Linked DNA regions of Lonchura striata. The main gene of each other region encodes a partner of the protein of the gene in region 2 in a complex. Links are inferred from orthologs where the notes say so. Each region holds a gene or a part of one and is shown on either strand. Other genes may lie near its edges. The genes, in order: NSMCE2 and NSMCE1.

Region 1 (7,059 bases), on a different chromosome or scaffold from region 2:
AGTCAAAATACATAGGGCTGGGACTAATCTGTCAGATTCAGGATGCAATACAAGAGAGAATATACTTACTGAAACTTTCCACAAGGTCAAGGGCAACCTGAGTAGTCACATCCATTCCAGACTTGATGAAGGTCTGGCAGTTTTTCAAAGAAGAAAGAGCAGAATCTATTGCATTGAACGAGACTCTTGGACCATCTGACATCTTGAAATTGTTACTCTATAAATAACAGGAAGAACAAATTAAAAGCAGTCTGCACACAAAGAATTTGGGAGAGAAAACGTAAGTTCTAATAGATAGCTAAAACATAAAGCACTGTCGACAGAATCACTGAAGCATTAGGGAGCAGGGATGAAAACTTAGCTCCCAAGATGTTGATAATTTCAGTGAAATTCATTGCAGGTTTTCAATTCACCTCCTATTCAGTATTAAGCAAAACTACACCACTACAAGCAACTCAGAGTTTTCCTCTGCTCATTTCTATTGCTAAACCACAGTGAAGTTCAAAGTCCACAATTATGTCTGCTTGAAAACTACTGCTCTATTTCAGATCCAAAAGAAGATCCAAAAAAGCCCATATGCCCAAAAACTTGTCTGGGTTATCTAGCCATATAATCAATTAGGCTAGGAAGAAATACAATTTCTCACATTCAATTTAGTTTCATCAGCAGTTGACCTTTGGAAAAAATAATCTAACAAATTGTCACTCTACTAAGAACGTACTTAAGAGTAAAACATCTAGCATAATTTTCAAATAAAAGCCCACCTTAAAAATGCTGCCTACTTCTGCCAAAGATGCTACAAACTTTTGGTACCCATCTTCCATTACCACAAAATAAAGCCACACAGGTACCATTGTTTATCTTCTTTACCACCCTCTGGATCTGCAATACACACCCAGAGCCTACACCCTTGTGGGGATTAGCTGCTCTGTCATTATTAGAACCTTCAAGTCTTTTTGCCTATGCTGTGCCTATCCACACTGCTCACATCCATTGGTTTCTTCTCAAAAATCCTCATTTTCTTCTCTTCCTTCTTCATCCTTTGCCATAACCCGCTCAGACATGTAGCTACCATGAGTAACATGAACCTGGTATGCAGAATTTTATACTTCAAGTTGCAGACTAGAAAAATTTTGCATCAGCTTTAGATACACCAAAAAAAAAAAAAAAAGAAATAAAAAAAAGAAAAATAGATACAGCAAAGCAGAACTCTTAGATAGACAGAAGTATTGCATTTTTCCATGTAAAGAATAACTAGTATGTTCAAGGACTATATTGAGATGCCATTGGGGGAGATAGAGAGTAGAATCCACAAACAAATTTGGGGTATACCAGAGGGGGAAGAGTTGTTCTATCAATAACAGCCTTTAATAGGCTATAATCCAACAGCAATCTGGAAAACATGTTAACAGAAAGTATAGTGCTTTTCCCAAGCTTTGTATACCTAAGCTGTATCTCTCTCCACTGCTTTCCCTGAGACTCCAGAACTACACCTTGTGCTCACCCTAACCTGAACATTGCCATATTCCTCACAATACAGACTGAGACCTGCTGTCTCTTAATGTTTATTTCCAATCATTTTCCTTTTTTACATTTATAAAATGTGCTTGGCCAGTCAATACTATCTTTTAGTACACCATCTTTAGGTCATGTGCTTCCAGCAACATTTTAACAACAGTTCAACCTCACAACAAATTTAACTTCTTAATTACATGGAAATTTTTATTCCTCTCTATCCCCTTCTAAAGGTGCATCTTTCCACCGATGCAGCAGGCTTCAACAGCTCTTGTTATGTCAGCTCATGCTCTTCCTGACAGAAGACTGTGACTGATATCATTAGAGGTCTTTAGAGGCTGTCAAACTGACAACAGAAGACAAGGAAAAGGTTCCTTATAGAACTCCCTGAAAGTAAAGAAAAAGGATGCTCTTGAAGATTTAATAACAAATTCCTTCAGCTAGTATATTATTTAACTTTTTTTTAAGGTACTTGTTTGCCATCTTAGCAAGACTGTTTGTATAGAACCTCTGTGATCCAAACGTACACTATGGAATAGTCACATAAAATCATGTTAGCAGCTTTATCTTTCTGAGCCCATTTTGTGTATCAAAGTTAACAAAGAGAGCCTAATTCCCTTCTTGAACTTGGCAAATCTCACTGAGAAAACCTGCTGTTCTTTTGGAAATTTCACAGATATGCACTGTGAAAGCAGGAATCTGAAAAAAAGATACAAACAACAGTGAAAAGTTAAAAAGGCTCTTTGTTCTCATGAGCAAATTACACAGGAGCAGAAGTTATGGTTATGACATTAAATCATATCATTGCATGGTAGGTTAATCTCAATCTGTCTTTTGGAAAGTAACTTCTTTTAGATTAATTTTCCTTTTTTTTTTTTTTTTTTTTTTTTTTTTTTTTTAATAAAAGGCTATTTTTCTTAGAAACTTGTTACAATCCTATAATGCCCCAGCCTACTTGATGGGTTCAGAGGAAGGCATTGGGATATACCCTGGGCAGTGCATGGGAAAAACAACCAAATTACCAGGAGACTCAATAACAACTTTTATTTCCAAACTTTGGAACGTTCAAGTAGAATAGGGTACTTGGCAAATTTTAAAACATCCAGACAAAAATCAAGTACTTCCCAAACTTTAGCTCAGCGAACTTTTAACTTCTCCAGACACAAGAAGAAACTGGAAGTTTCCAGTCTGACTTACATATTTTGAGAAGAGTATGCCAGAAAACCAGAGAAAGAAAGAAAAAAAAAAAATGGGGAGAGAAAAGTAAATGGCCATCACCCCAGGATCCAGCATTGTCTCAGCAACTTCTAAACCCCTGGCAGCAGAGCATGTTTGGCACACGTGTTGCTTTGCTTATATCTTCTGTGCTCTGCCACTTCAGGGCTTACAGATCCTGTACCCCCACCACTTCCCAGCTGGCTCTTTTGAGCCGGTCAACTGTTCCTCAAGTCTCCTACAGATCCCAAGGCAAAGATTTCACTCTTGAACTAAGTGAATTCCTCAGCTCAGTGGAGCTGTCCATTCTACCTTTCAAGGGAGGGGCACATTCCTCTCTGTAACTGGTTTCACTGCAGTGTTTCTACCGCACTCTTTTCGGCAGGAAGGTCTTCAGTGGGCGCATCAAAGCACTTATCATGTGCAACCTCCAGCCCCTTCACTTCTGGAAAACACAACCAGCAAACTCCGTGATGAATGGGAGACTATCGAGGACACTTTTTTTTTCTTTCAGGAAGTGATGAAATGGTCCAGACAGGATAAAGAACAAGATAACCCTACAGTTTCTATTCCGTTCGCTATTTTAAATATTTGAGGAAATTACCTAAACTTTCTATTCTTCAATGTCTCAATTTCTATTATTATATAGTATTCTATAGAATTCTTCAACGAGTATGAACCAGAGGTAAGAAAAAAGTATTATTTGCTTCTGTAACAGCAGCTCCACAGGTGCCAAGTGCTCTCCGAGCAGCAGGATCAGTGTCCAGCCCGGGCACACTCGGTGATGAGCGCCCACAGGGAGACGGCCGGGCGGGGAGCAAGCTCGCCGAGCAGGGCTCCGGCTCCCAGGGCCTCTGGCCGCCTCCCCGGCCAGGGCCGGCCGCCGGCCAGGGCAGGCCGGGCAGTCCCACACGGACACACGGCCCCGCACCCGCCCGCCGCCGCCCCGGAGCGCTGCCCGAGCCCGCGGAGGGGACGGGGCCGGCGGGGCAGCCCCCCTCGGCGGCGGCGCTGCTCACCTCGTCCCGCAGCCCGGCAGCGCAGCGGTCCCGGCGCGGCCCCGCGCCGCCTCCCGCAGCAACCGCAGGCGGGCAGCGCCGGCACCGGGGCGGGCGGAACCGCCTCATCAGCCGGCGCCGTCATGTGACGGGAGGGCTCGGCTACGACACAGGGAGCGCCGCCGCCTCCCTCCCGTCCTTCCCACCCTCCCTCCATCCTCCTGAGCCCGCAGCCGTCCCTGCCCGCTGGCGCTCCCGGGCGGGGCGGGCGGGGTGGGTGCCGGCGGGAGCCGCCGAGGGAGCGGGGCCGCCTGAGCGCAGACTGTGAGTTCGGCGGTGGCGGAGCGGGACGGGACGGGACGGGACAGAACGGGACGGGACGGGACAGAACGGGACGGGACGGGACAGAACGGGACGGGACGGGACAGAACGGGACGGGAGCGGGTTCGGAGCCCGTCCGGCCGCTGCCGCCCTGGAGCCGCTGTGCGCCCTGCGGAGCGCAGCCTGCGGCGGCACTGGGCACCTGGGGGGGCTCCGGCCGCTCCTTCTGGGTCAGAACTGCCTTGGGACAGCGCACTGTCAAATTATCGTAATGCTCCAGAAAGTGTTTGGTGAAAAGTCAAGCCTGGTCATAATTTTCCATAGGTGTTTTTGAAGCACAGACGCTTATTTTTGGCGCTGCACGCCGTGTCCCGCAGGAGACGCGTGAACGAGTAAAACTGAGCAGGAAATGCAAGCACAGCATGGAAGCTCGTCCTTTAGCAATAAATAATGAACGGAGCTCTGTCATTTCCATTTGCTATGAAAGTTTTCCTTATTGCTAAAGCCCTTATGATCACTTCGGTTGACTTTTTAAAGTGAATCTTAAAAACACATTTTGTGAAGTGACTTTGCTTTCCTTGGGCCCAATCTCCTCGCCTGGTCATAATTGCTTCACTATTTGTGACTGTTTCATTTTTTAATAGTGTTCTTCAACTGTTCTTCAAAAGATCACACTTCCCCTGCCTGCTCAAACAGTTCACTTCTCAAACTAAGTGTACGTGCTGAAAATGAATTCTGTGCATTTTTTCATTTCAAAAGCTGTGGATAATTTAGATTTCATAATTTGAAAGATTGGAGAGTATGCTTAAATATCCACAAATTAAATTATCAGAAACATGAATATAAACCACGCTGGATGTGTGTGGGTTTGTTTTTACAGGTTATTAATGGCGTGGCTGGTCTCTTCATCAGGCTTTCTGCTTCCAGTAACCTAAAGAGTAAGGATCAGAATCAGACTGCAGGACTTCTGCTGCTCTGTCACACTGAGCTCCACAATGGTGGATTTTCTGGCTGAAAACAATCTCTGTGGTCAGGCAATTCTTCGGATTGTTTCCTGTGGAAATGCCATCATTGCAGAACTTCTGAGACTTTCCGAATTTATTCCTGGTGTTTTCAGACTAAAGGACAAGGCTGATCAGCAGAAGTATGGAGATATCATATTTGATTTCAGTTATTTCAAGGTAAATCCTTTTATTGTTAAACTTCTCCTTAAAGCATTGCTGTCCAACATGAGGATGTTTTAGCTTGTGATACAGCCATTCCTGACTATTGTGTTTATTACTATTACATCTTCCAAAATGTTTGATGTGTCATCTGGCTGTGAATTTTGATAGATATCAATTATATAAGACATGAGTCTTGGATTCTGGGGAGGTAGTAGTAGTGGCACTAGTAGTAGTGGTAGTAGTGGTAGTGGTAGTAATTCCTGCAGGACCACTAAATTAAACTTCCTCCAGCAGGTTCTGAGGCTGCATGGTTGTTTGTTTCCCTTCAGAGCAGTGCCGTGGGCAGCATGCCCATCTTTCTTCTGTTAATCTGTAGCTTATTCTTTGCAGCCATGAAAACTGCTTTCTGCTTTCCTGTCTGACAGTGCTGTGATTGTTCTTCCTCTGGACTTGTCACATGCACTGAATAAATAAATAAATAAGTCAAGGAGAAGTGTCCATGGAAAGCCCTTATTTCTCTTTCAGAATTAAGCTTTTAATACAAAATTCCCTCTGTCGTTTTCCACCATGATTAAGAAGGAACAACAGAGACTGTCTAATCTGACTTTATTTGGACTGTCCAATACAAGAAATGTTAATAATAAAGCAAGGGAGGCACTTTTAAGTCAATTTGATTGTAGTAGGAGTTGTAAATTTCAGGCACCATGAGGTTTGGATACTGAAAATCCAGAGCACAAATGATTTCACAGTTACCTTTAGATCTAGGTGTTTGGTAGAATTTTTTTTTTTTTTTTTTGCACAAATTACTTAAAAGTCTAAAAGCAGATAGCTGTAATTGGTAAGAAATACAGTAATCCTTAAAGCCTCAGTAAATTTGAATGTTAAGAAAGCATAAGTGTGCTGTTTTTCATCATTAAAATCAAATAAATCCATAGAAGTCATACTGTTAAAGCAAAGATTAGAGAATTTGCAGATATTTTTACTGCAAATGCACCCCTTCTGTATTCACAATTCTTAGAATTACTTCTGAGGAAAGATTTGAGATTTGAAAAGTTGAGACTAGTTACTTTGTCCATTTTAACTTCATAGGCAGTTTGGCACCTGTTTTTATCCTTTGTTTTATGTAGATATTTTGCACAGAAAGAGAAGCAAAGAGTATTTTTAAAAACTCAAATTGTCAGCTGGATATTTTCAATTGCATTTTAATAGTACTTCCAATTAAACTTTAGCATTATTTTCCTTTAGTTGGTGATGCTAATACTGCGTGGTGCTTATGAGAAATACGACAGTGGTAAAGGGCTAGAAAAGTTGTATTATTGCTTTAAGGAAGTCAGGTTCTTCATCCCAAATCTTTTTCCCCCATGATTGTTAATGACAAAGTGTCTGCATTAATTCAGGAGACAAGTACTGTCTACACATGTAGAGTGTGGAAAAAACATGTCTAATATTTTGAAGCAGTTTGAATATATGAGAAGATACTACGCTTTCTGAGCCCTCAATGTTGTGGTTTCTATCTGAGAAGTCAACCAGAAGAAATGGGTAAAGGAAAAAAATTCCATCAGTGAGATAGTTAGCACTATAGAAAGCACCCAGTGCCTTCAGATATACTGGGGCTTTACTGAAAGCATTGACTATTCTTTTCCATTGGATAAATCAATTTAAAGTCATTGCAGATTGTAACAATGTGGAAAACTCATCTTTATGGAATCAATATTTAGCCACAAACTGGGTTAGAAAACTACAGATCCTTGTTTTGGTAAGAAATGATAACTGTAGTTTGCACACAGGGGTGGTTGTACATGGTCTGTGTCCTACTGTAGAGAAGTCAAGTAGAGATCAAAGTC
Region 2 (7,059 bases):
AATAGTGCTGATGAAATCGTCCAGTTTATCGTGTGCATAGTAAACTGAAAATGAATGAACAAAGTCATACAGAGAAAAAACATACAGAGAAAAGTCAAACAACTACACACACATCAGGCAGATCTTTTTATGTGAAGCATTTTTTTCCCAGGTAAGAGTGCTAAAACTGAGGCAGAATTCAAACATGAATTCAAACTGTTCTATTTAGCAGACATATCATTTCCTTGCGCTGCTGTCTCGTGGCCTTCAGAGATGCTCAGCTCCTTAAAAATCAGTTGACAGAGTGCAGAAAGTCTGCCTTGTTGCAGGGAAGCCATAGCACTAATTCAGTAATTACAGTGACCTGAACTAAGCTGAACTGAAAATAAAATATGATTGGGAAAAATATTATGCACAATAGAAAAATACACTGACTTGAATTCCTTTATACACAAGGGATTTCTTGTTTCTGTATGCTCTGTTTCACAAATTAATGGCACATAAGTGCTCAAATTACATATCAGAAAACCTAAAATTCTAGTGTTGTAGAAACACAAGAAATATCTTGAGTAGTTTTCTACAAATCAAGCAAATACTAGCAGCAGTTTTATAATAGACATAATTAGAATGGACTTTCAGTCATTCTATGGAAGAGTATACAATGGTTTATGCCTGCACACCACCAGCACAACCCTCACATCTGCCCAAAACAAGACTTTGTCAGTGGCAACACTCCTGCTTGCCTTCATCAGGCTAAAATAAACTCCAGAGCTAAGTAATGTTACAGCAGGCCCCTGGCCACGTAATAAGTTACACAGACTCCATGCATTTACAGAAGGCTGATGGTTTCTTTATCAAGAAACCTATTGCTTTTTTGATACTATAGTTCACTACAGGTAGACCTAATTGGCCCTCTAATTAAAACACCATCACTACTGGCTAATTAAGAAACCACCCTTTGGTAAATAAATCTCCACAACACATTCCACATACTCACAATACCAGGTGCAGCAAGTTAAGATAAGAATTGTTTCTCATTCTTTTCTCTGATCTTATCACAGCCTTTCCCAGGCATCATTCTGGGAAAGTTGCCTGTTGCTCTCTGTGATCAGAGAGCTGCTGCCACAAAGTAACAGCTCATAATTTTAGATAAATGATTCATGTCTTAAAAATCCAACCAGTTATCATGAAATTAATCCTGTTCTCAGTCAGAGGAGTCCCTCGCTCATGTAAGAGCACTGGGGCAAGGTCTCACTCCCAAACTGCACAGCACTCATAGGATGCTCCTCTCAGGAGTTCCTGATTCTCATATACAAGATTCCTTCAGTGAACAAAGTCAACGAACAGCAAGAACATTACTAAAGTAAGTACAAAATTAAGCATAATTTTACCACCTGCTTGGCCCCTGTCAGCAGGAAACACTGCACACAGCAGCCAGGTAGCTTTAGTGAGAGAGGGTAAGAGATGAAAGGTACCAGAATACTCTTTTGTACAACAGTTTTAACACTTTAATGTTACATTTTAATGTTAAGTGGCTGCTTGAGTAGATCTTATGTGGAAAAAAAAGGGATAAATATTCTCCATAAAAAATGGACAGGGGTTAGAGAACACCCGAAGTTACACTTCACAATTTTAGCATTTAAGAAGTAGGTCAAGTTACAGTTCCTGACTCAGGAGATGTACAAATAGACTACTTCATTCTGACCTTACATCTTTGGGTACAAATTCACAGAAAATCAGAAGAGTCCCTGCAGAGTGAGTAGACATGGCACAGGGACACTCCTAAGCCTGGTAGGAACACAGCTTCCAGGACTTGGAATGGACAATACAGTGCAGGTGAGATGGGAAAAAAAGCACAGCAATTCAGCAGGAAACCTCATCTCATCCTCACAGAAATGTTTTTGCAGCAGTCACTTCTCCCACAACACGGGGGAGAAATAACTGAAGTGCATTTACATAAAAGCATTCACTATAGTGAAGTATATCCAGTGTCAAAAATTATTTTTTGAAAATCATTTATATGTATAACCTATAAACAACAACCTTGATAAAATAAGAAGTACTATATACAAATCTGGCCTGATTAGAAATTAGTTTGCTTGTTGCTATATTATTTTATCTTTCAGGAAAGAAAGGGAAGACTCATATCTTTACAGTTCTTAAACTTTTTTTAGCTGGTGCATGCCCTTCAGAAATCAAATTGTTTTCAAGATGCACCAGGAAAAAATCCCAGTTCTTTCATCACTAAGACAGACACACCTTTGTCAGTTTCACAGCAGTGCTGGTGTAATTTTTTGGCCTCTGATCCTTCTGTTATCCCATTAGACATCAGAGCCTGCAAGAACCGTCGATGAGCATTGGTCATCTGAGCTGCCATCACAGTGTTTCACCAGGCTTCAAGTGCTGCAGGAGGTTTAAGCTGGAATTAATGCACATGTTAATGCAAATTGAGAATACAACAGTCCAAGTATACACAAGATTTCAATTAAAATCTATTACATTGAATGAGGGCAAAAAAAAGCAGATCCCAAGGTTGTCCTCAGAATGCAGAGGGTGACCAGCTCTGAGGTTCTGGAAGGGTGGAAGAGATGAAGTCCAACTAGTTTTAGCTCCAGAAAAAACAACATAGGCATTGTGTCGTTGTCACCCAAAATCGAGAATAAAACTTCTTCTTAAGACCAATGTAGTATTAACAAGCAAGGAATACTCTACTGCAGCACTGGATACACAGGGGAATGACTGCTGCTTAACGTGCATAATTGGCTCAAGGTTATACACACAGAAGCCGCTTGAGTCTGCACAGTTAGTCTCAGACGGTGCTCCTGGAGGGTCTTTAGGCACCCCTGGTGGTCACTGAGCCTCTAAACTTCGACCTCGATCTTCTCTATGCGGCGCGGTTTTCATCGAAGCTGCTCAGCATGTTGCTGAGCGAACTGTATCGGGCCGCTTTGACTCGCCAGGAACTGGAGCAGGAGAGCGGCCCGCGGCCCACTCCCCGCTACAACGCCCCAGTAACCTTACACTCACTCCCCAGCGGGATTTGCAAACCTGAAAAGAACAGCGCTGGGTGACAAACACAACACCGCCTGTCATTCCCCCTTAGACAAAGCTCCTGCTCCCCACACAGCCTGATCTGAGCACAGTCAGTCAGAGCGGGTGACTTTGCACAGAAAAACAATCCTCTACAGGTTTCGAAGAACGCCTGAAGTACTTAAAGGCAGCTCAGGAAATTCCCTGACCGCTGCACCGGCCGACTGCCCGCTTCTGGCTGAGCTCTGACCTCGCCGCTTCACGGCCCACGCGGCCTCGGCCCAGCCGCAGCCCACGGAGGCAGTGCCACGGAAAGCCGCCCGGCCCGCTGGCCCGCGGCCCCACCGGGACCCACCGGGGCTCTCCGGGGCTCCCACCGCAGTGCCACCGCTCAGCGACCCCCGCACCTGCCCACGCCCGCCGGCTCAGCGACGGCTGCGCGCGCCCCGCGCCGGGCCCGCCCGCGCCGGACGGAAGGACGGGCGGCGTGTGGGGGCGGAAGGCGGAAGGCCCCGCCCCGCCCCGCCCCGCGCCGCCCCGCGCCGGCCCCGGGCCCGCCCCGGGCCCGCCCCGCCCCGCCCCGGGCCCGCTCCGCCCCGCCCCGCCCCGCCCCGGCCCGGCCCCGCCCCGCCCCGCCCCGGGCCCGCCCCGCCCCGCCCCGGGCCCGCTCCGCCCCGCCCCGGCCCGGCCCGCCCCGCCCCGCCCCGCCCTCACCCGACGGAAGGACGGGCGGCGTGTGGGGGCGGAAGGCGGCGGGCCGCGCCCCGCGCAGCGCGGAGTCCGGGGTCCCGAGTGCCCAGGTTCCCAGCGGGGGCCGGTAGACACAAGGTACGTCCTGCGGCCCCTTCGTCCTGGTGTCAGGACCGGCTCCTTCTCGTTACTTGCGCTTGGCGTGCGTTTGTGTGGTCTGTGTTTTCCTCCGCGCCGGTTCTGGGAAGGGCGGAAGGTCTGTGCTCTCTCCGGAGCTGCCGGCCGTATGTCCCTGGCCCCGTCCCGTGCGGCGGCTCCGGCTGGAACCCGCGGCCAGAATCGCTTCTCTTTCCTTGCGGCTGTTAAACGCGAGTTTTACAGAGTTTTACGCAGAAAGGTGTAGTTCTCCGAAGCGCTGTTCCTGCCGGACGTGCTGCCCGTGGGCGCAGCAGCCGCGCATGTCCCGGGCCCGCGTTGGCGAGCGGAGCCGCTCCCGGCCGGGCCAGCCCGGGCTCGGGCTGCGCCCCCGTGAGCCCTGCGGAGCTTCGGGCCGGTTCTTGCTGAGCACCCGGAACGGAGCGGTTTTTCCTCACAAGGCATTACGCTCTGTACGGATTTCTTGTCAAGGTTTGATGCAGAATCTATTGGTGAAACTTCTGCTTTGCTGTGTATCGCTTGTCTCGTTTTATTCAGCGTCTATAGTCAGTGATTTAAACTCTATAGAGAGTAAGACAAGTTGCGCATCAGTTTTAAAAAGAGGCAGTTTTAAACAGGGAATGATGCTTCATCTGTACACTTGCAGCAACGGTGCATTAAGCACTCTTGTTTAATATGACCTCTTGATTTGGGCAGGAGTTACTCTTTGCACATAACAATTTTGCAGATTATAGCTGTTAATGGAATGTGACCCTAATTTCCTTAGAAGACCAGACCAAAAGTTACTACCGTTTTTCTTGATAGTGAATATTTCTAATAATATAGTATTTTTTTCAAGAAACAGAAAGGTTAAGTGATCAAAGTATGTAGCTTGTGCCAGTGGCTATGTAGATCTGCTTCTAACACCAACAGAGATTTCTTTCCTAGTTTGAGGAAGTGACTTATATCTTTACAATTTACTTTTCTCAAATTTATCAGAGTTACTAGGTTGGCTGCAATTTTAGGATTGTCTATTTGTGTTACATACTTTTTTTTAAGATTGGTATTTCATTGTCTGGTATAATGAAAAACTTAAGAGGTAACAGGCAGAAGAGCTGTGGGTATTTTAAAACTTTCTCCTTTTGCAGTTTTATTAAAGTTCTGGCTTAATTCCATTTTCATCCACATGTGCAGATCCATTTTTCCATGAGAAGATGGTTTTGGTCTGCCATCTGCTTAACATGCTTACGTGGTTTAGGATTCTTCGCCAAAATTCTAAGTGTTCCAAGAGTTTCTTGGAACGCCAGTCATGTGGCAATATTACCTAACAGTGGAAAGTAAATGCTTTCTCTCTTGAGAATTCCAGGAAAAAGGGAAATGAAGGATTTTGTTTTGAATGCCAGAGCAGTTGGCCCTTTTCTTCTGAGCAACAGCAAAGGTGCTTGTGTTCTTTAAAAAAAAAAATGTATTACTGTGCTTAGCCACATTTCATGTCTTCTCAGAATATGAAAAAAATTCAGCTCTTGAGTAATAGTTTTCTCAAGCTCTTATGAGAAATTTGTCTTTCAAGTTTGTTCTTTATTACTAGATGAGCAGTAGCTGCCCCAGAGAAGGTCACAGAAGAGTTGCCATTTTGATCTTCTATTTTGACTAACAATGTCTGTGACATTCACATTCTCTGGACAGAGACATAATTCTGTCTCTCAGGAGAAGCACAGAGAGAAGAGAAAACAATCATCTCTGCTCCTTTGTTTTCCCCATGTGGAATATGGTATGGAGATCTTTACCTGCAGTGATTGCTGGGTTGGATTCTGGTGAAAGTTGTTTGGGTTCAGTGACCAATGGGATCCAGCTGTGGCTCTCAGCAGAGAGTCACAAGTTTGTAGTTAAATAGGTGAGTAAAAAATAAGTATGTAGAATAGTATAGTATCTCTTTAAATTGTGTATTAATGTAATATATATAGTTTTAATAAAGCTATCCTTCAGCCTTCTGATCTGGAGCCAGACATCATCATTTCTTCCCTGAGTCAGGGTCCGCTACATTTTTACTATAAATGTCCTTATCCCTTAACTTCTAAGATGGATATTTTCAGACAGACTGACTCACCTCTGTCAGACATGTGTAATGTAATTCTGCTGCATGGTTGGTTTGGGGAAGAGAGTATTGAACCACCATCCACAAATACCTTTCAGTGGTCTTTTCTACTTCATAATCTGACCAATCTTATGCAGAACACCATTCACCTGCTGAAGGAGTCTTCTCTCCTCTCCTTGAAATAAAAACTAGTGTACTACCTGGGAACCCTACAGGTATAAACAGAACAGCTGAAACTTGCAGGCAGCAAGAATACTCTGTCCAGATATGAAAGTTAGAAAATTCCAAAAGCATGAGAGGAAGGAACCAAAGGGTTGTGTCGCTGCTGAACAAATTTTATCCCTCTTTATACTGAAAGTAAAGCCAAAAGCATATTAGCATGACTTCACTTACAAATTTACCAGACTTTTAAATGCATCATATCCATTTGTAGTGATATGAAAGCCGGTAGCCTTGTCTTACACATTAAGTAACTATATTGGTAAAACATCTTGGGGACACTTGCTATTTTTAAGTCTGAAATTAATTATTTCATCTGTTTTCAATTTACCTAGACAGTTTTGCTATGCTTAGGGACATAAAAGCTGCATTATTTTCCTTCTCCAAAGTTGTTCTGGTTATATCATGATTAGGTATGTGTTTTACAACTTTTAAATAATTAATATTTTAATGAATCTGCAATCTTTTGGAGCAGTGCTCAGAGTTCTTTGCTAAAATTTCTTTTTAAAGAGGTGATACTCAGATTATCAAGGTACTGGTGATAAGACTTGGAGAAAACATTTTAGATTAAACACTTCATTCATAAATTCTTTTACTTATCTGAGTGGAATCACAGGGCTTTGGTGACAATGTCACTGATTTTGGTCTAGTGCTTGCCCTTTTTTGCCCTTTACATATTAGCAACCTTTCTTTTCTAGTAGCTAAAGAGAGTAGCTCCACTGCCAATGACAGTTCTGTATCCTCTGTAATTAAAATTTTGCAGAAAAGTTTTCTAGCTCATTTGTGTTCTCCTTATTCTTCTACATATCATGTTTCATGAGGTAATTTTAGGGGCCAAAGGTGGGAAACAGGTACAGCAGGGAGTCTGAATTCTAACATCTAGCAGAGTGGTAGGAAAAATTACACCTTTA

Evidence for each region.
Region 1: NSMCE1 (region 2) and NSMCE2 share a complex: the UniProt entries of both Homo sapiens proteins name them as parts of the SMC5-SMC6 complex. The link is inferred for Lonchura striata from reciprocal best matches to the Homo sapiens genes NSMCE1 and NSMCE2.

Annotation. Positions count from the first base shown.
Region 1 is NC_134603.1:11,865,917-11,872,975, forward strand, and holds the start of NSMCE2 (E3 SUMO-protein ligase NSE2), read right to left. Parts: upstream 3,873-7,059; 5' UTR 3,858-3,872; coding exon 3,750-3,857; intron 218-3,749; coding exon 70-217; intron 1-69. Other genes in the region: WASHC5 (WASH complex subunit 5), read left to right, coding at 5,045-5,230. UniProt on the Homo sapiens protein: E3 SUMO-protein ligase component of the SMC5-SMC6 complex, a complex involved in DNA double-strand break repair by homologous recombination. Is not be required for the stability of the complex.
Region 2 is NC_134618.1:17,483,480-17,490,538, forward strand, and holds the start of NSMCE1 (non-structural maintenance of chromosomes element 1 homolog), read right to left. Parts: upstream 3,523-7,059; 5' UTR 3,417-3,522; exon of another isoform or gene 3,365-3,416; intron 3,244-3,364; exon of another isoform or gene 2,479-3,243; intron 2,399-2,478; 5' UTR 2,357-2,398; coding exon 2,239-2,356; intron 45-2,238; coding exon 1-44. UniProt on the Homo sapiens protein: RING-type zinc finger-containing E3 ubiquitin ligase that assembles with melanoma antigen protein (MAGE) to catalyze the direct transfer of ubiquitin from E2 ubiquitin-conjugating enzyme to a specific substrate.